5 linked regions of the Tribolium castaneum genome follow. The protein of the gene in region 3 purifies or fractionates together with the protein of the main gene of each other region. This does not show direct contact. Links are inferred from orthologs where the notes say so. Each region holds a gene or a part of one and is shown on either strand. Other genes may lie near its edges. The genes, in order: cyp33, crn, pea, NKAP family protein CG6066 and nudC domain-containing protein 1.

Region 1 (4,316 bases), on a different chromosome or scaffold from region 3:
AATAAAAACATGCTGCGGTCAAACATAACCTATCAATGATAAACGTAACCTCAATCCTCAAACTTGAAGAACCCAAAGTTGCCAACTCAATAATTTATCGTCAGGTTTATAACTTGCACAATAATACCAATTTTTGTAACCTATTTTGTGAATAAAGCGAGGTGTTTCATTTATTCTTTTCATGTAATCTTTGTGGCAAAGTAAATAAATAAAGACAAATTCTTTTGCACAAGTTTAATTTGGCAATATGGCTGTCGGTAATGTAGCAAACATTAAAAAGGTAATTTAAATATTTTCTTGTTATTTTATTTAAAGTATTTAAATCTTTTTTTGTGCTCTTTTAAAATACGAAAAACTAGTGCCTAAAACATTCCTGGGTAAATAAAAATACAATTTACGTTTAGTAAGTTCTTTATTATTTTCATTACATAAAATCAAAAATTCTTAAATATTTTTTATTGTATTTCTCCACACGCTGCTATTACTACTTTCTCCGTGGGCGTCCCACTCTTGGTCCCACACCTTTCCATCCTTCTCACAACGTCCATCCCACTTATAACATGCCCAAAAACCACGTGTTTTCCATCCAACCAATCCGTTTTTGCCGTGCAAATAAAAAATTGCGACCCATTGGTATTTGGTCCCGAATTGGCCATTGATAAAGTCCCTGGACCCACGTGTTTCAATTCAAAATTTTCATCAACAAATTTCCGACCATAAATTGATTTTCCTCCTGTACCATTGTGGTTGGTAAAATCGCCACCTTGACACATCTAACCGTCATTAAGGAATTTAGCAAGTAATGTTGGCAACTTAATTTCACAGCCGTAGCCCTCTTTAATAAACAGGTCCCAGCGAGCCGAAAAGGCTCCAAAATTTTTTTATTATTAGACATATTGATTTTTCCTTTTTTAGCTTACAGCTGCGTTTCTGCTGCATATTTTGAAAATATTGAGGTAGTCAGGGTTAGGGCTAGGAATTTTTACCGATATATCGATAAAAAGATCGATATATCAATATATATAGACATATCGATAATTATCTAAAACTGTCGATACACCACATGCCGATAACTATCGATAATTTATTATCAATATTCCGACAAATTTCGTTATTATCGTTTAACTTTAGTTAAACGTAAAAAATTAGATCTTCTCAAAAAAAATTATCGTACAAGATTTAATTTTTTGTACAATTGTTAAATAGAGAACTGAAAAATGTAATCAAAACCAAAAACAGTTGAGGATTGCCTACCCAAAAAAGACGGCGATTTAAAATCGACGGGTTAGAACATTTTTTGCAAAAATATTAGCATTAGTACAAAACTTTATGATTTCTGTATAATTTAAACATAAATTTAACAAAAAAAACAAGTATTTCACCATTTCAACTTTTTTAAATTTAACAGTAACATTTATTAGGTACTATCATTTATCTATAAATACCCATGTTTTTATCGCTCTATCGTAAATATCGATACTTCAATATAATATATCGATATTTCGCCAATCTTCGATATGTATCGGTGTATCGATATATCGGTATGTATCGATTATTGATATTTAAATCTTAATATCGCCCACCCCTAGTCCTGGTAACGACAATGCTCATAAATAATGTGTACTGCTGCTGAAATTAATTTTTAAAGTAAAATAGATTTTTAGTTATTAACTTTAGGCATTTGAAACTTTATGTTTTTAGACAATTTAATGACCTTTAAGAAGCAAAAACAAAAAATAGGGTGTTCTATTTAACTTTTCCAGGTTATCCAACTTTTAACAAACTTCTTAATTTTTCTACGTTCCTAATTGCAATGCGTTAAACAGTTGATACAGATTTAAGTTTGAAAAACTGAAAAAAACAAATTATTTCAAAAACTAAACAGAATCGATTACGTCCAAAACTGTAATAAAATTTAAAGTGTTCTATTTGAAAAAAACATAACTAGTTTTTTTTTTTAATATTGGGAAATCTTAAAATATACCGCAATATTTTTAACATCTGTAGCAGAAACACAGTTATAATCCAGAAAAAAAAGAAAAAGTGAATATTTCTTATGATAAACAAGTTATGGGGCTTGTTGACAATATAATTTTTCTTTGGGTAAAAAGGATACAAAGTCTGGAATTATTCTATGGAAAGTGGAGCCCTGAAAACCGTAACCCTTTTCATGGGTGCATAAACACCTAAAATTTTCTGCAGTTCTGGGGACCACATCAGCCCTCAACAGCATTGTTATTCTACCGACTTCAGTCTTGCCAATCTTAATGTCGAAGTAAACTTGAGGGTTTTTGACTTTTTTGCTGTCACTTTTGTCAGCATCCTGGGAAAAAATTGCTCAAAAAAATCAAAAAATCAAGAGAAATTTTTACGTTATCTGTTGCCTCTTTAGTTCCATCATCAGGATCATTAATAGTCTTGCCGATTGTCTCGCCTGCGTGCTGCTGAAGCCAGGTGTCTTCAGACCAAACAGGCCGTGTCGAACCCTCTTTAATTCGCTGTGGTTTGGCTAAATTGACTCTGATGGTTCTACCAAAAAGCTCAGAATCATTCTAAAACTGATATTTAAAAATTGTCCATTATTTAACTTTGGTGTTACCATATTGTCGATTGCTGCAGCCGCGTCTTCCGCACTCTCAAACTCGATGAAAGCGAACCCCCTGTGCTTTTCCGTCTCATAGTCCAGAGGGATCTGAATGTCGACAATGTCACCAAAGGGGATAAAAGCCGCGTTCAGGACTTTATCGTCGACTTCTTCGGCGAGCCCCCCGACGTAAATAGTGCGTTTGGAACCGGTGCTCATTTTTCAAAAAACATTGACACAACCTCACTTTTGTGCGAAACCTTTGACACCCTTAACGCGCCTGCGCAACTATCAAGTGTTTAACCATCATTGGATTTTTACGTAAAAACGTAAATTAATGGCATTTTAATTACTACTTGAGCACTGCCGTCCGTTTCAATTCAAGTAATTAATGTGAAAAATCGATATAAAAGTGTGCGACTTGGGGAATTTCTTTTCCCCCGATTTTGTCAAGTGTCAGATGAGTTTGACAGGGGCAACGAACGATAACTTCTCCCGTTTGTCTCAGCCATGTTGGCCTGTCTGAGGCGAAAATTCGAGTTTTGCGCGAGATCTTGAGTAAAAAAACATTATGCCCAAGTGCGATGTTAAAACTAGATACATACCAGCGACTTTTGCTTGGACTTTACTGTTGGTAGCCACAACGTTGTTCTTCTACTACCCGTGAGTTATTCCTGTCAGTGTTTATGTTACCAAATTTAGGCAAACGTTACGCTTGTTAGAGCCCGATACTACTTAGAGGATTATCCATGGGTGCCCGCGTACCAAGGAGTGATCACGTTCTTCGTCCTCGCCAATTTCACCCTCGCTACGTTCATGGACCCGGGGGTCATACCAAAAGGTGCGTAACAACCCCCTTGTAGCGCTAATTGAGCTGGTTTTTAGCCCCTCCTGATGAAGACCGCGAGGACGATTTCAGGGCCCCCTTGTACAAGAACGTGGAGATCAACGGGATTACGGTGCGGATGAAATGGTGCGTCACGTGCAAGTTCTACAGACCACCGAGATGTTCACATTGTAGTGTTTGTAACCACTGTATAGAAGTGAGTTGTGGAATTGGTTGAAAAAATTGGTAAATCCCCGATTTTTTACAGACTTTTGACCACCACTGTCCATGGGTCAATAATTGCATTGGGAGAAGAAATTACCGATTTTTCTTTTTCTTTCTCATCTCACTTAGCTTACACATGATCAGTATATTTACTTTAAGCCTAATTTACATCCTCAAATATGGTGATACTTTCTCCAACGCTGAACCAATTATTGCGTATCCTTTTCGATTTTTTTGTTACGAATTTTCAACATTCTAGCTAATTTTACCTTAATTTTTCCCAGTTTTGTCTTAATGGGTTTGGTGGCTTTGTTAGCTATACCAATTTTTGGCTTAACAGGGTTTCATATGGTTTTGGTCTCGAGAGGAAGGACCACCAATGAACAAGTCACGGGGAAATTTAAGGGCGGTTACAACCCCTTCTCGAGGGGCTGCTGGGACAACTGCTGCTACACGCAGTTTGGGCCCCAATTCCCAAGGTGATAACACTATTTAATCAGCTGTTAATCCCCCGAAAATTGGAAAACAGTTTTTTAGCAAAGCATGCTGTGGAATTTTGAGATAATCTGTCAACGACCAATTAATTTATTTTGTCAAATCTGTCAAACGATTCATGTTTCAGTCTCATAAAGCCCCACAAGTACAACGTGAAGCGCAAGCACTGCCCCCATGGCCCCATCG
Region 2 (3,967 bases), on a different chromosome or scaffold from region 3:
ATGGTAGACACCTAGCGAGTGGTTCTGGCGATACAACCGTTCGGTTCTGGGACGTGGACACCCAGACACCTTTTAAGACATGTAAAGGGCACACGAACTGGGTGTTGTGCATTGCGTGGGCCCCCAATGGGCGTAAACTAGCTTCGGCGTGTAAAGACGGCAAGGTGGTGGTATGGAACCCCGAAAATGGGGCCCAGATTGGTAAAACTCTAATTGGGCATAAATCATGGGTCACGGCCCTGAGTTGGGAACCCTACCACCAAAACGCCGAGTGTCGCTTTCTAGCCTCGGCGAGTAAAGATTGTGACGTCAGGATTTGGGATACGGTCCTGTGTTCTTGTACTAGGGTTATTTCTGGGCATTTGAAAAGTGTGACTGTGGTCAAGTGGGGCGGTCTGGGGCTCCTTTATACGGCTTCGCAGGACCGGACTGTTAAAGTTTGGAGGGCTAAAGACGGTGTGTTGTGTCGTACGTTAGAAGGGCACGGTCATTGGGTCAACACTTTGGCCCTCAACACTGATTATATCCTCAAATTGGGGGCGTTTGACCCAGTCAAAGACACCCAAATCCAATCACAAGACTTCGTCCTGCGTCGTTACAACGAAATCGTTAACCCTATCGGTGATGAAAGACTCGTCTCGGGCTCCGATGATTTCACTTTGTTTTTGTGGGCCCCCTCAAAAGACAAGAAGCCGTTAAATCGGCTCACGGGGCACCAACAATTAGTTAACGATGTGAAATTTTCACCAGATGGTCGCATTTTTGCCTCGGCTTCGTTTGATAAGAGTATTAAATTATGGGAGGCCAAAAGTGGTAAATTTATTTGTACGTTAAGGGGGCACGTACAGGCTGTTTATGTGATTTCGTTTTCGGCCGATTCTAGACTTTTAGTGAGTGGAAGTGCCGATTCAACACTCAAATTGTGGAATTTGAGGGAGAAGAAATTGGAAATTGATCTGCCAGGTCATGGGGATGAGGTCTATGCGCTTGATTGGGCCTCAGATGGCTCCAAAGTGGCCTCGGGGGGTAAAGACAAAGTCTTAAAGTTGTGGCAAAATTAAATGCAATAAAATTTTGTAATTTTTCTCGAATTTTATTTAAAAAAAAAACAGAAAACTGTAATTGTGCGCGACATGTGGCGTCACCAGTGCAAATCTACAAATCCAATAATACAAAAACTGGCTTGCGGAGTTTAATTACTTACGTAAATTATTGTTTAATCTATATTACAACAAACAAACACTCGATCAAAATTTAAGGCACGATATTTCACAATTTGTGTGGTCCAAACATAACCACAAAAAATCGTAAGGTTATGTTCGTGTTTGTTTGTTGTGCTACAAGTTGGTAAAAGTCGCCCCTGAGATGGAAACCAAGCCGCAAAAGATGCCCAAAGTGGCCAAGGTACGTTATTTACCTTCTCTTTCAACTTAATAACTAACTAAAATAATTTTCCAGGTGAAAAATAAAGCCCCTGCTGAGATCCAAATCACAGCCGAGCAGCTCCTTCGCGAGGCAAAAGAGCGCGACCTTGAGATTCTCCCTCCGCCCCCTAAGCAAAAAATCTCCGATCCAGCTGAACTTGCCGACTACCAACTCAGACGCCGTAAACAATTCGAAGACAACATACGAAAAAATCGAACTGTTATCTCCAATTGGATTAAATATGCCCATTGGGAAGAATCGCAAAAGGAAATCCAACGAGCTCGTTCGATATTTGAACGTGCCTTGGATGTGGACCATCGTAACGTTACCATTTGGTTAAAATACACTGAAATGGAGATGCGAAACCGTCAAGTGAACCATGCTAGAAATTTATGGGACAGAGCCGTCACGATTTTGCCCAGAATCAACCAGTTTTGGTACAAATACACCTACATGGAGGAGATGTTGGAGAATGTGGCTGGGGCCAGAGCTGTCTTTGAACGCTGGATGGAGTGGCAGCCGGAGGAACAAGCCTGGCAAACGTACATCAATTTTGAGTTAAGATACAAAGAAATCGACCGTGCGCGAGAAATCTACGAACGCTTTGTTATAACACATCCCGAAGTCAAACACTGGATTAAATACGCCCGATTTGAAGAAAATCACGGTTTTATCAACTCGGCCCGCTTGATTTACGAACGAGCTGTACATTTTTACGGTGATGACCATTTGGACGAAAAATTGTATATTGCATTTGCACGGTTTGAAGAAAACCAAAAAGAACATGACCGTGCTCGCGTTATCTACAAGTATGCCTTGGACCATCTCCCCAAAGAACAAGCGAAAGAGCTGTACAAAGCCTACACCATACATGAGAAAAAGTACGGCGATCGTTCCGGTATTGAAGATGTGATTGTTTCGAAACGTAAGTTTCAATACGAACAAGAGATACTCGAAAATCCGACCAATTACGACGCTTGGTTTGACTATTTGAGACTGGTGGAGGGGGAAGGGGACCTTGAGACGTCACGTGAGACGTATGAGCGGGCCATAGCCAACGTGCCACCAACGAAAAATAAACAATACTGGAGGCGTTATATTTACTTGTGGATTAATTACGCCCTGTTTGAGGAAATCGAAGCGGTTGATTATGAAAGAACACGTCAGGTTTATAAAGCTTGCCTTGACTTGATCCCCCATAAGTTATTCACGTTTAGTAAAATTTGGTTGTTGTTTGCACAGTTTGAAATCAGGCGGAAGAATCTGATTGGTGCTCGTAAAATTTTGGGGACTGCCATTGGTAAATGCCCACGTGATAAATTGTTCCGTGGGTATATTGATATAGAGATACAGTTGCGTGAGTTTGACCGGTGTCGTATTTTGTACGGGAAATATCTAGAGTTTGGTCCGGAAAATTGTGTGACTTGGATGAAATTTGCCGAGTTGGAGACACTTTTGGGGGATTTTGAGCGTGCTAGGGCCATTTATGAGTTGGCAATCGCTCAGCCAAGGCTAGACATGCCTGAGCTGCTCTGGAAGGCCTATATCGATTTTGAGATCGGGCAAGAAGAGTGGGCTAATGCCCGACAATTGTACGAAAGATTGTTGGAGAGGACAAGTCATGTGAAAGTTTGGTTGTCGTATGCGAAGTTTGAGTTGAGTTGTGAGTCGGATATGAATATTAGTTTGGCAAGGCGTGTTTATGAGCGGGCTAATGAGAGTTTGAAGAGTTATGGGGAGAAGGAGGCGAGGGTTTTGTTATTGGAGAATTGGAAGGAGTTTGAAAGTGCAAATGGGAGCGAGGAGACGAAGGAGAAAGTTGAAGGGAAAATGCCAAGGAGGATTAAGAAGAGAAGGAAGGTTATTGATGAGGATGGTGTTGAGCAAGGATGGGAGGAGATCTTTGATTATATATTCCCTGAGGATGAGGCCAGTAAACCCAATTTGAAGTTATTGGCAGCTGCCAAAAGCTGGAAGAAGCAGAAGCAAACGGAAGAACCGGAACCGTGATTTTGAGAAAATAGAATTAAGGTTTAAATTTTGTTTTATTCCCCTTTTGTCACTTATCCAAGCGCTATCTGGTCAACGATTTTGCACTGCAACAATTAATTTTTTGTGGGCAAATGATAAGATAATAAAAAAATCGATACTTTATTCATTTAAATACATTAAAAGCGAGTGAGTTTTGAGACTTAACAGCCGCCATAATCCAGCTTTGATGAACACAAGACACACGTATGCACACATTCCTCTACGTTTTCCAAAAATTGGGGTTTTGTTGCAACCGTCGTTCAAAATTCGTGTACCAGTTCTGTACTGTAGCCAACGGAACGTACGTGGCCGTGGGATCTGGGACCATTTGCGGTTGCGTCACCGTATAACTCAGCACAAAATTCATAAAATTCTCCAACATTTTCTGAGCAAACGTGACATTATTACTGGGATTATTCGCCGATTCGATTTCCCGAATATTCGCCAGCGGCTCAATAGCGATCCCTATTTGCGCATTGTGTACGATGTGACTTTGCCCGAATAAAATATT
Region 3 (2,366 bases):
ATTGCAACGTTGCACGAACCTTGGTTCCCCCTCAACGTGCACGAAACCAGTTATTTGGAAAAATTCCCGAGGGAACAGTTGGTTTATTTAACCCCTCATTGCCGGGAAGAACTGGTGAAGTATGACCATGACGCCATCTACATTATCGGCGCAATTGTCGACAAGGTCAACACTCAGCCCTTATCCCTGGCCAAGGCCAAGCGTGAGGGGCTGAGAATGGCCAAACTGCCCCTTGACCGCTACCTCCAATGGGGCTCCGGTTCGGGCAAAAGCCTCACTTTAAATCAATGTGTGGCAATTTTGTTGGACGTTAAGCACACCGGCGACTGGGAATACGCTCTGAGGCACGTCCCCAGACGGAAAATCATCCAAATGACCGACCAAAAAGAACAGAAATCCTTCAAAAGCAGGTTCTGGAAGCCAGGCAAGAAACTGGATTTATCCAGGAAGGATAGGAGAGTAGAAGTTAGGAGTATCATGTATGATGAAAATTAAACACAGTAGATTATTAATTTTTTATTTACACCTAACTATGCCTAATTACGCCGCCTCCTAACTCGCGATATTCGCCAAGCGTTCGGTTCCTCGTATTTGTTGTAAAGTGGCTCCAAACGTTGGTTTTTCTTAAATTTGCTCAGTTTTGTCGGATCTGAGAATTTGAAGAAAGCGGGGGCGAACTCCACGAGCCATTTTGGGTCGATTGTGGTCACTTCGCGCATGTATTCCTTCGTGGTCTGCACCAGTTCGTGGTAGATCACCCTTGAAAACGCACATAGACAAAAAATTATAAAAAATAAAACCACTCGGTTTTTCGCGAAACTAAGCCGAAAGTAATGTCCTTTTAGCCTCTTCAAAAGTTTTATTAGGTTTTTACAGCCCTAAACGCGAGCTTTTATCAAAAATAACTAAAATAATTTCAAAAAAGGTGTTATTTAATTGTTTCAGTAATGAAACTGTCAAAAATGAATTTCTTTTTGCTTTTTTCAAGCAGTTGCATACTTTTTTCAAGAAGAAACTTAATTATCTCCATTATTTTTGAGAAAAACAACCCCAAATAAATAATCTCTTTAAAGCTTACCACTCTGGTTGTCTGTTGAAGAGGGCGCTCGAGGGGTGTATATAAACCACTTGGCTATCCACCAGCGTCCTGTACCCCTCCTGTGGATCCTTTTTCGCTGCATTCCTGAAAAATCCCGAACACACACACTTCTGCACCCTCACTGTATTTCTTTCAGCCGATACGACATCCAACTTGTGCCTATCCATAATCCCTAACAATTGTTTACGAACATCTTGTGCCCGTTTTAACGTCCTTATTTGTACGAAATTTTCGTAACACCACGCATTCGAAAATTTATTATTTTTCCAACTGTTATAAACGGCCAAAAGTGTCAAGTGGTCGCCTTCTGGTTGGTTAAATTTGGCCTTTTTCTGATCGGCGATCGCTTGCTTGTCCTTGGGACGATAAAAGACATTTTGAACCGACAACATGCTCACAATTGTCAAAATCTCGTCGGAACATTGAAGGGCCACGGACATAATCAGCATTTTTGATAGGTTGGGTTCCAGAGGAAACTCAGCCATCTGTTGAAATTTTGTTATGAATTAAAAATTGACGTATTGACTGGCTAGCGAGGGGGCAGTGTACTGAATATGCAATTTATTTCTAAAAATATAAATAAGAATCCAAAAAAAGTGACACAAAGAAATACACAATTTGCGAATAATAATCTAGAAGGTCATATGAACTTATCTTATAAATTTAAGTGAAAGTGATTGAGGTACAATGATTATAATGTGAAAATTAAAAATAAAATTGAATCGTACAGTATTGCCCCCACGGTAGCTAGGAAAAACCAAACGTGTTTTTCCCCCAAATCACTTACCCTCCGCCCTAATCGCGTAAGAAGCCCCTCATCATCCAACGCCGACAACGAGTGCAACTGCTCTAAGGCCATAATCAGCGATTCAACAGGCGGAGCGTCCATAAAATCAAAATGTAGCAAATCATTAATCCCCATTGTTTTCAACTGTAAGACAGTCGTTGCCAAATTGGTCCTTTGTATCTCCGGAACAGGAGTGGGCAGCATCTCATCACGATACGCCCTCTCCGTGTACAACCTATAGCATTTCCCAGGCCCCGTCCGCCCGGCACGCCCCGCCCTTTGCTTGGCTTGTGCCTGCGAAATGGGCGTGACCACCAACGAGTCCATCCCAGTTTTAGAATTATAAACTTTCTGTTTGACAAAACCGGGATCGACAACGTAAAAAATCCCATCAATGGTCAACGAAGTCTCTGCTATATTTGTCGCGATGACAACTTTCCGGCTTCCGGGGGGCGCCGGTTCAAAAATCCGGGTTTGCAT
Region 4 (3,059 bases), on a different chromosome or scaffold from region 3:
GATTAGCTGTTTGCAATACTAGTTTCCTTCCAAAAGTTCGAGGTTGAGTTGCTTTCTGAGTCAAGGAACGATTAAAGTGGATCAAAGAATAAAAAACAATTTTAAGAAATGGCGTTAAAAAGAAAAAGAAAAAAATATGCATTTAAATTTTTTTTATCTAAATAATATAGTAATAAAAACAATTTTTTTCGGTCGTTTTATAATTTATAATCATACCTTGCATTTTTTATACAGCGTTGGCGGAAGTATAGAACCAAGCGTTTTCAAAAATTGTTTTTTTCGAAATTTTTGTTTGTTATTGATTACGTGTATAATACACGTATTAATAAATTTTTTGAAAAATTCAAATAAGAAAAAATTTACCAATCGACCATTTTATTATATTGAGTAAGATAAAAAAATAACTAAATCAAATATAAATATAAATATAAATAAATATAAGAGATTTTTTAAATGTTTCTTTTTAAATAAAAATTGACCTGTCTCAAAAATTTTATTTTTTTTGTTTTTTTTTACTAAGATATTTAAGGTGGCTTGTTTTTAAACTAAATGTGAATTTTGTTGTTATACTTTTGGTTCAATCTGTTTACAGTCTTAAACGTGAAACTGTATAACGATTGAAATAGTGTGACTTCTCTGATAAAACTTTACTCACAGCAGACGCTTTTCTGACTGAAAACGCGATGAAACGCTCAAAAAACTAAAATTTTTGACCTAATTTTGTTTAGCAGCAGGAATTGAAGAAAAAAACAGTAGTAAATTAATACAAGTATAATAAAAATGGGTAATTTTTAATACATTTTTTCTATTTTTGTAGATTTCAACCAATTACTAAATTGCGCAAACCGCAGTGGAACCCCACATCCGCCCTAAATCCGCACACTTAATCAAAATTTCAATTTGTCGTTTTGTGGTTTCCGTTTCTTCGACTCTTGCACCTACACAACATCCAATTCCATTCATCTTAAAGCCCTACAAGTGTTAACAATGCAGGCAAAACTTTTCTTAATCCTTTCCCTTCTAACTGTTTTTGTGTACGGCCAAAGGCCTCGAACAAAATCGGGAGACTGCCCCCCGTACCCCAACGTGGGGATCTGTGAAGTGGCCTGTTTCGAAGACAACCACTGTGCCGGCCATTTCAAATGCTGCCGGACGGCTTGTGGCGGCACTTTTTGTACGGCCCCTGTAACAACGAGGCGAATTCAAAGAGGAGGTGAAATGGATACAATTTTTTTTAAAGAAAATTAATTTGTGTTTTAGAGAAACAAGGGTCTTGTCCAGTTGCACCGTCAGGCCCTTGGGTGTGCTCCAGCAGGTGTGCCCTAGACTCGGACTGCAGGGGGGCTAAAAAGTGCTGCAGGAATCGGTGCGGGGCCATGGCTTGCACCAAACCCGAATTTTAATCAGTTACAATTGTAGTATCGTTGTATGAATAAAAATTAGCAAATCGACGCATTTTGTGTTTTATTTATTTCCTTAAAATTTGAAATGGTTTGAGCAAATGTCAATTCTAGCTTATGGGAATGACGTAAAGTGACTTCAGTTTGACAGTTTTTTTTAAAGGTTATGTTATTGTAAAAAAATTGATTTTTTACGAAATGATGGATGTGGCAAAACACAGACGCAGTCGGTCCCGTTCCCCGGACCACCGGAGACACAAAACTGATAGATCGTTTAAAAATGATCGTAATAGGAGACACAGGTCCAGGTCTCATTCCAGGTCAAGAGACCGCCATTCCAGCAGACGCAGGTCTAGATCCAGAGGCACCACAACAAACGGTTTTGAACGAAACGACAAATATGAAGTCACAAAGAAAAAACACCTTGAGGACGAGTTCATGGAGTCCCGACGCCAGGAGCGTGAGATCCTCGGAATGAGGGATTACCCCAGCATTTGGGGCCAATCCCCCGAACCCGAAGACTCCGACAGTGACGTCGAAGACGTCACCAAGAACGCCCCCAAGCTAAAAAAACGGAAGAAGGAAAAGAAAAAATCCCACAAGAAGCATAAAAAGAAGAAGAAAAAGAAGAAGTCTTCAAGTGAGAGCAGTTCAGGGGAGGAAGAGTGGGTCGAGAAGACCACAACCACCAACAAACCCCAAACCAATGCGGAAGAGACCGAAGAGGTGATCGTCGGCCCCATTTTGAAGCCCCATGCCGCCCTGACTCACAAGGAAATGGGCAAGGCTTTGCTCCCTGGTGAGGGGGCTGCCATGGCTGCGTACGTCGCCGAAGGAAAACGGATACCAAGAAGAGGTGAAATTGGACTCACGTCTGAAGAAATTGAAAGTTTTGAAGCCGTGGGTTATGTCATGTCCGGCTCAAGACACAGGAGAATGGAGGCTGTGAGGATACGGAAAGAAAACCAGATTTATTCAGCTGATGAGAAGCGGGCTTTGGCCATGTTCAGCAAAGAAGAACGGCAGAAGAGGGAGAACAGGATTTTGGGACAGTTCAGGGAAATGGTCAACTCCAAACTGGCCGAAAAGAAAAATTAATTTCGTAGAATTGAGTGTTTATTACGTATAAATAAAGTTTTTTTATTACTTAATTTGTTTTACATTGTTGTACCCAACCGGTCCATCCCCCAGGGAAATGTTTGGCGCTGAAAATTGAACTTAAATTTCGGGTCAAAGTGGCCTATGATTTCGAATTAAGTTGGCAACATCTAGTTGCCAACTAAATTTAAAAATCACAGGCGACTTTAATTAAAGACGGAACAAAACGAATGTTTTACTTTACGTATCCCAGATTTTTGGCTAAATCTAGCGCAGCTCGGCTCCGCCGCCCCGACTGACAACTGAAAACTAAAGGCGTGGTGTTTGTAGGCTTTTCTCTTCGGAAAACTTGACGAAATTGTTCATCACTTGTGTTCTGCAGCGTTTCTTCTAAAGTGGCCACTTGAAATGAAGTACTTTGCAGTTAATTCATAAGTTAATTAGGGTATTTACAAGGTATATTGATGCTTCCAGGAATTGTTCCAGTTTGCGCTAATTCCGACGGGTTCCTCACATCAATTAGAAGAACCTGTCTGTTGTCTTTTAGGCTTCTAACGTAGT
Region 5 (4,158 bases), on a different chromosome or scaffold from region 3:
TATGCTCAATTAAAATGCTAAGTTACCCGTTTCTGCATTTTTTTCATTTTTGAACAATAAAAGAAATATGAATTTTATACGTCACTTTATAATGATGATGTCAAAAAAAATTACGTGTTTGGTTCATCCATATTGTAAAGACTTATTAGTAGAGCTTCTGATTTTATAAGAAAAATTATACCGTTCCATTTAAAAATTCTGTGATGACGTCATGGTGCCGCCATATTGTCCGCCATGACTGATGCAGTCAGGTCAAATTTAAGCTCAATTAAAATGCTAACTTACCTGTTTTTGCATTGTCTTATTTTTTAAAATTAAAAGAATTACGAATTTTATGTGTTACTTTAAACTGACTCTGTATAAAAGAAAGACCGAAAGTGAATAACGTTCATGAAAAGGTTAAAATAAAAAACTAAATTACAATCCATATTCTAAAATCACTGTTCGATCAATTGTGCTTTTCGTTAGAAGTTTATGATATCTCAAAAAATTAAATTGTATTATAATTTTCTCTTTAGAATTAAAGCAGAGCTTTATAGACAATTTAAGAGACCATATTTACTTCACAACATTTTAAATTACTAATTAGTAACTTAGTTAAGTTACTTATACACGTATACGTATTATGTGTGATTTTTTTTATACTATATGTTATTAAAATGTATTTAATTCTTATGTGCGATTTGGTCAAGTACCAATTTATTTAACACCTTATAAAACTTCCCTGTTGTTTAGTAAAAATTTGCCTTAAAAAACTTATACACGTATCAGTCGAAACACTAAAAATTAAATAAAATACATCTATTTATTAAAAGAATTTACTTTTCAAAAGTGTTCTCAAATGCCTCATATATTTTACTAAAATTAATAAAAACATTTCTTGATTTCTTGCTCTAGTTTGATTTTGAAGATACTTTTAAGCTTAAAGTGATTGAGAAAAACAAAAGGTCATCAATGCACTACTAAATTATTAAGTTAACGTATTTAATGAAAATATGCTGGTTTTGCCAATTTAAATCTGACGACGTTTAGCTACCTTAAAAAAACATTTTTTGTAATTAGGAATATCGATTAGTAAATCTGTATTTGTTAAATTGTAGAGTTTGTTTGTATTTACCACGCTTTACAATTTTACATTAAATATGTAAATTTTGTGAAATGCTCGATAAAAAAAATTACTTTTGAAAATAATAGCCGTGAGTTTTGTACAGCTGATTAAAAACTAAAAGCCAACATTCCTGCAATTTTTTTAAACAAGTATTTTTGAGCAAGTCATAAATTTAAATTAACTTAATCAATTTGGAGCCGAGTCGGTTAAATTGGGTGATTTTCAAATTCGTTTCGCCACTTAGTTTTAGTCCTCCATATATCTTAACTCACCTGAATATAACCCAGCGCTAGCAAAGTACCCTTATGAACCAATCGAAACTCATTTTCATTAGTCGGCTGCCAGATACACGTATCAACATCACTTCGGATCCCTACAGCCAACGGCTGGTTCTCTTCCAACCCAACACTTAGCAGGACTTGATGTGACCCCAAGTTGATTTTATGGGTGACCTCATGCGAATCGCGCGAAATTCGTTCAAACACAGTCAATTTATCGCACTCAAAGTCACACTCTTCCACTTGTTGGCTGTTGAAAGTGGTCCCTGTGGGCGGCCCCATCTCGGTATCGCTCGTAAGTGGGGCCAATCTCGCCGCAATTTCGCTAACTAAAGCCGGATCTGGCAAATATTCGCCAAAAACGTAGCCACCTTCGACGATTTCTGGCCACATAAGGCCGGATTCACACTTTTGTAAAGTTAGGACGAGAGTGCTTGACTCAATGGTCCAACAGGTCACATCAGGGTCTATTTGGTGATACAATTTGCCGGTTAGGAGAGTCTCATTTTCGTATTTGACCGAGATGTGGGTTGGTTCGGTGGTTACGTGGACTAAATTTTTCTTAAAATTTTCAGGAAGTGGAAATTTAATGGTCAAATCTTCACTGGTTTGGCTCCACTTGTATTTCTTTTCAACTTGAATTTCTTCGGCTTTTTTGATTTCATTTTCCGAATCCAGGGTGAATTTGCAACCATCATCGCTGATTACGTAAACTGCGTCACAAGTGCGTTCGAAATTTGCGTACTGGACGAAGCCTTTAACTGTTAGTTCCCTCAAAGCCACTTGGTTCCACGAATCGCTTTTTTCCAAAGTTATCCAGTGCAAAATTGTTGAATTTCTCTCATTCGCTTCCCTCTGTCTTATACTGGTTAGTAATAAATGCAAATGTGGTTTTGGGGCCTCTTTAAAAACCACATCAGTTACAACAAACTTCTGATCAGGACCTGTCACGTCCCCAGAAAAGAGTATCTTCCATTTATCGTCAATGTCTCTGCAGCCCCTGTCTAATACGTAAAGATAGCCCATTCCATCTGCTACAACGGCAATCTGACTTGAGGCAAATTTCAGGGAAATATTGTAATCCCCAAAGCTCCTTTCTCTCTGTAAAGGTAGCGTCCACACGGTTGTTTTACAGAATGTGTGTGTCAATGATTCAATGCTAAATTTTTGAACGTTCAACTCTTTATCAACAAAATAAACTGATTCATTATCATTTTCGCTAATCAAATGATTGTGAAGAGCAAAGAGTTTTGCATGGAGCAACGAATACTGATTTACATCAGGCACTAATCTGTCCACTGGTACTTTTAACTGCTCGCTAATTGTGGGGATCTCGGCCAAAGACAACTTATAACCGTCAAAATCAGAGTTCAGTAATGATCGATCAGGACGCAATTCCATTAATTTCGGGTGAGACTGCATCTTGTGTAATTAAATACTGTGTGGCACTGAATTTATTATTACAAGACAATTGTTGGAATAAAAATCATAACCTCAATTCGCACTGTCAAAGTATGACTGACGTATGACAGAAATGTGTAAACATAACCTCAAAACTAAAATGTGTTTTCCAAAAAAATGGATAATTTAGCGGAACAGTGTGAGGAACTTGAAGCTTTGAAATCTATTTACGATGATAACTGGCGGCTGGAGACGGACACGAATTGTTATAGCATTCAAATTAATCCCAACGTTAAATTATTCATAACTTTGAATGATGATTATCCGTCAAGCAAGCCCCCAAGTTTTGAGTTATTGGCTCCTACATTAACGTCAGAGCAGAAGCAGCTAATTTCCGATGAATTTGGTAACATTTACGAGTATGAACAAGAAGTGTTTATGCTTCTTACAATTATTTTTGAACTATGATTTCTTAGAAGTAGCCAGGGAAGCCCTATTCTGTTTCAGTGGATTGAAAAGTTAAAGGAAATTGTGGACGAGTGTTCAGAAGTTTTAAGTGCTCCACAGCCAGAAGTTTTAAATGGCGAAGTTGAAGAGAAACAAGTCAGGAAGGAAACTTTTTTACAAGTGATACATGGGGATATTATACAAGACAGAAAAAGTGTTTTTCAGGGTCACATGGCTCGGGTTCACTCATTAGAAGAGACAAGGTATTTTACATGTCCAAATTACTGAATGATATTCTATTTAATTTTTTGTTATAGAGAATTTATGAATTTTTTACTTGATAATAAAAAAATTGCTCAAGCAACTCATAACATCTCAGCTTATAGAATTTTGACTTCTCAGGGAACCATTCTCCAAGACTGCGATGACGATGGTGAAACGCACGCCGGAGGGCGTGTTTTACATTTATTACAAATTTTGAATGTAACCAATGTGATGGTGGTTGTTTCTAGATGGTGAGTGTTTTTTTCTATGTCGTTTGAGTCGAATGGGGTGCGTTGGTAACAATAATAACTCATAATCCTAGCTCATAATGTATTTTTTTCTATAGCAGATGTCTGTGTGCTTTATTCTACTGAAAATAATTATTCATTTAGTTTTTTAACCGCAAAGTGAAGTTTCTTAATGGGTAAAGTTGTTCAATAGCAATGAAGTTTGTTTTTTTGTTAATTCTGCTGTCGAAAAAATAAACTTATTACGTTACATCTTCGATAATCGACAAATCTACATTTAATGTGCTCTTCGCAGTTTGTATAAGTTTTTTCACTCTCATACAAAAGCTTTTAATTCAAATGTTTGAGAAAAGTACTAGCTGTATCAAATCTATAAAAACGCCAACGTCGCATTTTACCGAATTATTTTTTT

The links.
Region 1: the proteins of pea (region 3) and cyp33 purify together in Homo sapiens (affinity purification with mass spectrometry; 3 studies listed by BioGRID and IntAct, counting the BioPlex papers as one, with this or other methods). This does not show direct contact. The link is inferred for Tribolium castaneum from reciprocal best matches to the Homo sapiens genes DHX8 and PPIE.
Region 2: the proteins of pea (region 3) and crn purify together in Homo sapiens (affinity purification with mass spectrometry; 3 studies listed by BioGRID and IntAct, counting the BioPlex papers as one, with this or other methods). This does not show direct contact. The link is inferred for Tribolium castaneum from reciprocal best matches to the Homo sapiens genes DHX8 and CRNKL1.
Region 4: the proteins of pea (region 3) and NKAP family protein CG6066 purify together in Homo sapiens (co-immunoprecipitation; 3 studies listed by BioGRID and IntAct, with this or other methods). This does not show direct contact. The link is inferred for Tribolium castaneum from reciprocal best matches to the Homo sapiens genes DHX8 and NKAP.
Region 5: the proteins of pea (region 3) and nudC domain-containing protein 1 purify together in Homo sapiens (affinity purification with mass spectrometry; 3 studies listed by BioGRID and IntAct, counting the BioPlex papers as one, with this or other methods). This does not show direct contact. The link is inferred for Tribolium castaneum from reciprocal best matches to the Homo sapiens genes DHX8 and NUDCD1.

Annotation. Positions count from the first base shown.
Region 1 is NC_087394.1:24,073,917-24,078,232, forward strand, and holds cyp33 (peptidyl-prolyl cis-trans isomerase E), read right to left. Parts: upstream 2,804-4,316; coding exon 2,600-2,803; intron 2,553-2,599; coding exon 2,373-2,552; intron 2,324-2,372; coding exon 2,117-2,323; intron 774-2,116; coding exon 456-773; 3' UTR 394-455; downstream 1-393. Other genes in the region: palmitoyltransferase ZDHHC8, read left to right, coding at 3,156-3,247, 3,307-3,425, 3,470-3,627, 3,679-3,851, 3,920-4,114, 4,258-4,316. UniProt on the Homo sapiens protein: Involved in pre-mRNA splicing as component of the spliceosome. Combines RNA-binding and PPIase activities.
Region 2 is NC_087400.1:96,388-100,354, reverse strand, and holds crn (protein crooked neck), read left to right. Parts: upstream 1-1,267; 5' UTR 1,268-1,365; coding exon 1,366-1,404; intron 1,405-1,458; coding exon 1,459-3,435; 3' UTR 3,436-3,463; downstream 3,464-3,967. Other genes in the region: Nle (notchless), read left to right, coding at 1-1,061; protein OPI10 homolog, read right to left, coding at 3,677-3,967. UniProt on the Homo sapiens protein: Involved in pre-mRNA splicing process. As a component of the minor spliceosome, involved in the splicing of U12-type introns in pre-mRNAs.
Region 3 is NC_087395.1:23,611,243-23,613,608, forward strand, and holds the end of pea (ATP-dependent RNA helicase DHX8), read right to left. Parts: coding exon 1,887-2,366; intron 1,585-1,886; coding exon 1,079-1,584; intron 760-1,078; coding exon 537-759; 3' UTR 504-536; downstream 1-503. Other genes in the region: rswl (mitochondrial ribonuclease P protein 1 homolog), read left to right, coding at 1-495.
Region 4 is NC_087400.1:4,954,138-4,957,196, reverse strand, and holds NKAP family protein CG6066, read left to right. Parts: upstream 1-1,506; 5' UTR 1,507-1,598; coding exon 1,599-2,498; 3' UTR 2,499-2,551; downstream 2,552-3,059. Other genes in the region: waprin-Rha1, read left to right, coding at 988-1,213, 1,261-1,403. UniProt on the Homo sapiens protein: Acts as a transcriptional repressor. Plays a role as a transcriptional corepressor of the Notch-mediated signaling required for T-cell development. Also involved in the TNF and IL-1 induced NF-kappa-B activation.
Region 5 is NC_087394.1:22,049,154-22,053,311, reverse strand, and holds the start of nudC domain-containing protein 1, read right to left. Parts: upstream 2,809-4,158; coding exon 1,381-2,808; intron 1-1,380. Other genes in the region: protein IMPACT-B, read left to right, coding at 2,965-3,206, 3,264-3,497, 3,552-3,749.